Drosophila melanogaster: one gene and its partner. The gene in region 1 interacts genetically with each later gene. Each region holds a gene or a part of one and is shown on either strand. Other genes may lie near its edges.

Region 1 (3,754 bases):
TGACATGCGCCAAATGAATGTTTTGTTTTCCACTAGCCCCTGAATGTATTTCGATATTTGCGTTGTCAGCTATAATTTACCTCTCGGGTGGAATTTTGTGTTGCCTCCCAATTTTAGTTAAAATTCTCAAGAAGGATCAGACTCCTGCCTTCAGTTTGGATATCGCACAGTTTGCGATACTTGAACGACAGGCATTTTTGGTTGAAATTGAATTTGATTTACTGGAGAACTGTTTTCCTAAAATCACTTGTAGTTGGGGTCTGAGAACTTTGTACTTCTAAGTCTATACGCATATATATTTATAAAAACCTATATTAACGGAATATTAAACACGTGAAAACGGAATACCAACCAATAACAAAACACTAAGTTAGTCTATTGTTCCAAGATCCAGAGCGCAAATTGTTATTGTAAAGTAATAAACTGTTTTCAAATCTGTAAGAACAAACAATATTTATAACAGTCGAAAAGACGTCTGATAAAATGTTGCTGACTGACTGGATTAAGTCGAAGCATTGTCATAGTCACCAATAAAATATTTTTGAAATTTTAACATATATTCCAGTCAGTCAGTATAGTTTTAACCAGTGTGTCAGTCATGCTGCAATACAAAAAGTTCGATTCTGTTAGGGGAAGGCATTTATTTAGTTAACCTGTGTTAAATGCATTTGAATATTCCTTCAAATTTCTTGCTGCTTTTTGGTAACTTAACAAAGCCACAGAAAGTCCTTGAACGTAACAAAAAAAAAAAAAAAAAAGAACGTAAAATAATAATAACCAGAGAAAAATTAAATTATATTTATACTTGTAAGCGAACAGAACAGAAGAGATCGCATGTGAAAGAGCAAAACCGAGAAAATGAAAAGCAAAAGTCCTACTTGAAAAGTTAATTTAGTGTAAGCGAGGAAAATGTAACTGAAAATGAAATCGGAGCAGAAGCTGAAGGAGGATCGTGTGAATGGAGAGAAGGATCGATTGATACTGAACTCTAGCAGGAGAGAGAAATTGAAACGAACAAACTTGAAATTTCTGTCGGGTATACATACTAAATAATAACTAAGCAAGAACACTAAAGATTGAGAATGCTAAACAAAACCAACGGATAAATAAAACGTAACAAACGGAAAAGGATGGAAAGTATTGCAGTTGTATTTATTAGTCGGGCTAAATGGGAATTTATGAATACATCTAAAGGCATATTATAAAAACCGTAGCTTGATTATTCGATGTTTTTAAATGTCAATTACATTTTGATTTGAGTCAGTTTTCTCTTAAAATCAATAAACTAAACTAGGGTTGACGCAATAGTCGAAAAAATTCGAAGTGTATCCATGAAAAATTAAAGATAATGTTATAAGTTGCATTGCATTGAAAATCTAAAGAGAATAAACTTTTCCTAGAAAGCTATATCAAGATTCTTTTAATTCAAATTATGTGTTTTAAACGTTTGAATTTAATTTTTTTTTGAACAACCAAAAATTAGTGTTCACAATCATGGAGTTTTTAAGCACTGGCTTACTAAGCTAAGTTAACCACCCAACCAGTCCGTGTCGCGCACCCATCATATTGCATTAGCCGAGTTTCTTACCAAACTAGCGCTGCCAACGCGTTCGTAAGTACTAAGCATTTATTATCAATATCGATACGTCTATCGGTATGCTGCCAAGTAGGGTATGTTTAAACGACCGACAAGCGGTCACACGAGTGCAAGTTGGATTCCAATTCGATCCGTCGCGGTGCGTGGAAAAAATGCACAGATGTAGATAAATCAGCAAGCAACGCTAGCAGATCAGATAGAGCTATATCGTCGCGAAAACCGATTAATTTGCCATGTTCAGCGGATCAGCCTGCGGATCAATTAAACCGTAAAAAACAGAGCAGGCGAGCGTAAGCAAGAGAGAGAGGTGAAGCCAGAGGCGGAGGCGCAAGACAAAGTGCATTTTCAGGGCGTGTTTTTGAGACCCCCCTCGCCAGTTAAGCTCACCCAGCCTCCCAGCCGTCGACAAGAAGTTTGCCGACACAACATTTTACCAACATGCTGCAAATTCGCAATTGCACCTGAGCGGCCACTAGAACAACAAATCAGATAAATCGCAAACTTCCTTTTTCCTCCGTGCGTGTGTACTTCTGTGTGTGCGTGAGTGTCTCCAATCTTTTTTGTCTACTCCAAAAACGCAGAAAGAGAAAGAAAAATGTGTGCGTGTGTGTGTGTGAAATAAATTAAAGCAAAGCAAAAGGCAAAACGGCAAATAATTGAGCAAAAGGCCAAGAGAGAAGAGTTAAAGCTGAAGTATATAACAAGAAAAGCAAAGCAAATAATAAGTAGTAGTAGTAAGCGAATAAGCCGTAGCAGCAGGAGCCGAGAGAAGAGAGAGAAAAGTGTACAAGTTGTTGTTGCTGCGCAAGAGCGAAAAACCACCCAACCACCCACTGGCAAATGGGGGCTCAGCAGGGCAAGGACAGGGGCGCCCACTCGGGAGGAGGCGGCTCGGGGGCCCCCGTCAGCTGCATCGGCCTCTCCAGCAGCCCAGTGGCCTCCGTTTCCCCCCACTGCATCTCCAGTTCCAGCGGCGTCAGCAGCGCCCCCCTCGGCGGGGGCTCCACGCTCCGTGGCTCCCGCATCAAGTCCTCGTCCTCCGGCGTGGCCAGTGGCAGCGGATCGGGCGGAGGCGGTGGCGGATCCGGATCGGGGCTGAGCCAGCGTAGTGGCGGACACAAGGATGCACGCTGCAATCCCACCGTGGGTCTCAACATATTCACCGAGCATAACGGTAAGTTCCTGCAAGTGTTGGAAAACAGGCATCGAAAGCATGCTAAGTACACAGAGCAAAAAGCATATTTTCAAAATTTGAAAGCCTTGTTAAGTCAAATTAAACGAAAAACGTCTGTACATAGTGCACGCTCAATCAAAATCGTTTTTATAAAATTAGGTGTGCACTAAAATTTTGTTTTCTATTCGAAGTTATTTAGTGGTTTGATCATTTTGTGTTTCGATTTCTGTAAGCTTGACTTATTTCTCATTGGTGTTTCTTCTTTTACATTGGATCTTAGAATTATTTTCTTGCACATTGTAGTTTGAGTTAAAAAGGCATCAATCGTAGAAATCATCTGGACCAAATCGATCTGTATAAGTGTTGTGTAACATACATATAAAAGTCAGAGGATGCACAAACATGCATACATTTGGAGGTCCCATTCACTTACACACTAATTGTAAAAAATTGCATGCAGCCTCCAAACTCAGGTGTAAATTCCATCATAGTATTGTGACTTTTCTTATTATACATGGAAATTGTTGTTGCTGTATTGCCAATTGCTCAGAGTTGTGTTATCTCACATCCACCACAATCATTTCAATTCGTGATGAAATCTTTTGATATTCCATACAACAGTTTTTAAGGACATTCAAGAAATCAGTAACTAAAAACTTATTCAATGGGGGTACTTTCAATAAAAAAATGCTTTTTTAAGCGTGCTCTTGCCATTAAATCTCTTTTGTAAATATCATGTAAGTTTTGATTTATCTGCCAGTTTGGGCTGCACAGTGTTGTATTTATTGTTCATAAAGTGCAGTCCACTCGGCTTTCCCTTTCCCCCTCTCTCCTTCTTTATGATCCCCGCCCTTCCTCTATATACGCTGCTTTCCAATTGAGCCAATTTCTTTTTTCCTCCATTTCTTCCGATTATATAGGAAATTATTGTTGTTATTGCCGGCTAGTTTCATACTTGTTGTTGCTTTTCCGCTGCTTTTGTT
Region 2 (3,754 bases), on another chromosome or scaffold:
GAATCGTAAAATCGACACATGTGATACATAGTATTTTAATCGTTAAAGAAAGCAATTAAATATTTCAGTAAAAACTAACATCTTAATCGTTTTTTTGCGCTGTGCAGCTGAGTGGAAAACCCAAATGAAAATCGAAAAGTGCCCCGCAAATGGCCAGTTAAATGGGATGCTAATATAATTGAGCCACTGGAAAATCGCTTTGGGAGCATTTTCAATATGTGGCAGGTGAAATTTTCTATGCCTTGGGGATTTATTCGTGCGTTAAGCTTAAGTTTTTAAACTGCAGCCGAGTGCAAGATGCAGATTCGTGTGCACACGATAGCGTTTTCCAGCTTAATTGGCGTTAAATTATAATTATGATTAAACCGGAGAGTACGACGGCGGCTGCTCTGTGGGGGTTAAGAGTTCTTTGATTTACGAACGATCTCACCAAGCTGTAAAACGCATTCAAAAGTCCAGGGCCAAGTACTACGTGCTGAGATTGAAGAAGTATAGTAGAGAAAAGTGGGGAAATATGGGAATTATTACAGAACCCAACCAAGGACAGACGCATAGGGAAGTGGGTTACACATACGCAAAAATCGTTGTAATGCCCCCAATGAATTTATCTTTGACCGAATTATGGCGACGTTGTAATGTGTAGTGTTGTTTCTGCTGTTGTTGTCGGATCAGATAATGATGTATGTTGCTATAGAGATGTTGCTTGTGTTGCTGCTGTGCCTGCTGTTGTTGCTGCTGTGTCGATAGTGTTGCTGTTGCTGCATTTGCTGCTGCGGCTGTGGCTGCTGTTGCCGTTGTCGTTCTAATTGAAAACGACATGGAACAGCCCAGTTTGGAGGGTTGAGTTTTTGAGGGTTGGTTCGGATTCACCGAGGGATTCGAGGGCGAAACGCATTTGCGCAAAGTGGAAAAGATCAGAGATGAAGAGGAGGATGGCGATGGGGATGAAGTTAGGGTAGATGAGCTGGCTATAGATGTGGCTGCAGCACTTGATGATGAATCTCTTTGCGCTGCCGTTGGTACATACAACATCTGATCCTGCTGCTGCTGAGATCTCTGTGGTGCCTCATAGATGGGTCCTGCCTTTGGACTAGTAGCCTTGGGTAACTGCAGCACCAACTGCTCGTGCTCATGGTAGCGCTGCCTCAGCTCCTGCTGCTGATAATGATGGTACATGGGATGACGATAGTCCAGCAAATCCAGCTCCTGCAGCTCCTCAATGCTGTAGTACTCCGACTTGGAGCCCAGGCCGCCGACTGGAGGCGACATCTTGTGGTGCATACTTTGGCTGCGGCGTATCATTAGCTCACCGGAGTGACCAGGTGCCACCACCTGGAACTCGCAAATGCCATTGCCCGGCTGCTGATGCTGTTGCTGGTGGTAGGCCAATATCGGAGTGGAATTGGCGGCACTCGATGGCTTCTTGCTGGTGAACGAGGTCTTCGCGTAGAGCTTCTTCATGGCCATTAACCGTTGGCCAATATTTGCAGAGGCGTCACAGACACTAAACAGATCCCACGATCGATCCCACACTTAAGCACACTATGAAACCGAACGATCGGATCGGATCGGATGTATCGTATTTATGTTTGCCTAGGCTCTTGGATCTTGGCTATTCGCTCTCTGCCCACTGGTCACTGATCAGAGATCACCGATCACCATTCGTCGTTCCAAGATCTCAGCTGCACACGTCTGAACGCACTCAAGACCCGCTGGAGACTAAAGCCAAGATCCAGACCGAGATCGCGACTGGGTCTCAGAGACCGAAACGGTCTCTCAGTCGAGGCCAAGACAAACAAAAGCCGAGAAAAAAAATATATCTAAAGGCGAATGAGCAGAAAAGACGTGAGCGAGAAACTGAGTATCGGCTCACAATCTGTATTTTTCTCTCATTTTAGCGGCTGCTGCGCTTTGAATTCGTCTAAAAGGCAAATAATTACACTTCAAAGTCAATAAAATAATGAGAAATGATGAGATGTGCTATGGATGTTGAGCTGGATTGACCCCGAGCTGGGAACCGAGCATAATGGCCAGGTAGATGGAGAGACCACAACCTGACTCACAGTCGCTTCAGACGATTCCCAAATGGCATGACAATTAAAAGACGTGAGGGCAAGTAGTCTGCATAGAACCTATTGAGAAAAAACGTTCTCGTTTTACACGATTTTCGTTGAGGGAAGGATGTAAGATTCAGATTATTGAAAGGCGATTTTATTTTAATACTCAAAAGTTTATATTTTGAGAAGTTTTCAGGCACTGAAACAGAGTTTCAAGCAGTTTCCCTAAAATATGCAATATCTTCAGAGAGCTACAATGATACAATGAATTGTAGGGCATACCCTTACAACTTTTCGCCTAGCTATGAAATTGCGCAAGTTCCATCTCAAATTTCTTATGCAGTTTCGAAGGGTATGCGATAAGCTCTCGAATCTTACAAAGTTGCGCCCGAGGCTTTTTTCTGCCGGCAATCTTGAAGCCTCGCCGACGTCTCGTGACCGTCGTTTAACCAGTTGGTCAGTCTGTCCATCCGCCAGTTAGTCATTCGGTCAGTGTTTGTGATTCAGTAAGTTGGTTCCGTCCGTCAGTGCGATAATTACTTAAGAAACGAGCTCAATAATTTATATTTCCCCCTCGAGTGACTATTACAAGTATTTTTCCCTCGCTCGCTGCGTTTTTGTTTCCTTCATTTCAACTGTTCTTTGGCGGCGAAAAGCGGCGACGGCGGCGGGAAATGGGGGGGGGGAGGTACCTGGAGGCACAGCTTGTAGCATGTTATGAAAAATTCATATACAACATTGTCTATCTCAACTTGGAGCACTCAGCTCTCAGAGATCTGAGCCTCTGTTTCTGACTCGCTGGCTTATGTTTCAGTCTGATTCGGTTTTTTGCCCCACAACAATTCCTAAACGTTATTTCCAATTAACATTATTGTGGCCCATTGTAAGTGGTTGTGTAGTGGCTGTTGGTGGTTCACCGATCTCTGATTTGAGCCAACCGATTACCGGCTAGCTTTAATGGCTCTGTCAGAATGGTTCAGTTCGTTTTTTTTTTTTACCATTTTTGTTTTGTTTTTTTTTTTTTTTGGACCAGAGCGTGTGCCGCGGCTTAAATGATTTGGCAACTAAATATTTCTAAGGGGCACTACGAATGCGAGTACTGGAGTAATCCATATGGCTGTCCATAAAGACCCGCAGGCAGACATCGGACTGGAAAAAAAAAAATCATAAAAACAAACAGGGCCCACACATGTGAGCAGCGGAGTCACAAAGTAGGTTGCCAGGCAGTCAGGAGACTCAAAACAGTTTGCCCATGGCAAACATCAAGAAGTGCTGGGGGACAAGTGGGGGTCTCAATCAATATCGAATATCACTGCGCGATGAACTCGTCACGGGAGGAGCGCTTCCTGCCGTGCCTGCACTGCGAGAAAATCCGTGCTCAGTTAGTTTCAACATTTATGTTGATCTTATAAGGTGTTGCAAACCACAAATTCAGAAAGGAAACTGTAAACGAATTTGTTTATGATGGTAAAAATTTAATCTAAAATACATTCATTCACATTTTTTGTACACCAACTTTTTTCTTAACTTATAAGTACCGACCAAAGCCTGGATTTGGGTCACATTGCAGCACCTCATCGCAGACCTTCCATTCCACTGGCACAGGTGACGACGATATGTTGGGATCCATTCAGCTTATGGATACCGACTTCAATCAAGCTCGTAGCCAAAAGGATTAACGTTGAACGTTCCGACGA

Evidence for each region.
Region 2: of Abl (region 1) and ena, changing one suppresses a phenotype caused by changing the other (phenotypic suppression), as found in Drosophila melanogaster (5 studies listed by BioGRID).

Annotation. Positions count from the first base shown.
Region 1 is NT_037436.4:16,645,827-16,649,580, reverse strand, and holds the start of Abl (Abl tyrosine kinase), read left to right. Parts: upstream 1-1,698; 5' UTR 1,699-2,437; coding exon 2,438-2,771; intron 2,772-3,754. UniProt on the Drosophila melanogaster protein: Arm and Abl proteins function cooperatively at adherens junctions in both the CNS and epidermis; critical for embryonic epithelial morphogenesis regulating cell shape changes and cell migration.
Region 2 is NT_033778.4:19,153,188-19,156,941, reverse strand, and holds the start of ena (enabled), read right to left. Parts: upstream 1,722-3,754; 5' UTR 1,468-1,721; coding exon 575-1,467; intron 1-574. UniProt on the Drosophila melanogaster protein: Functions, together with Abl, trio and fra, in a complex signaling network that regulates axon guidance at the CNS midline. Required in part for robo-mediated repulsive axon guidance. May be involved in lamellipodial dynamics.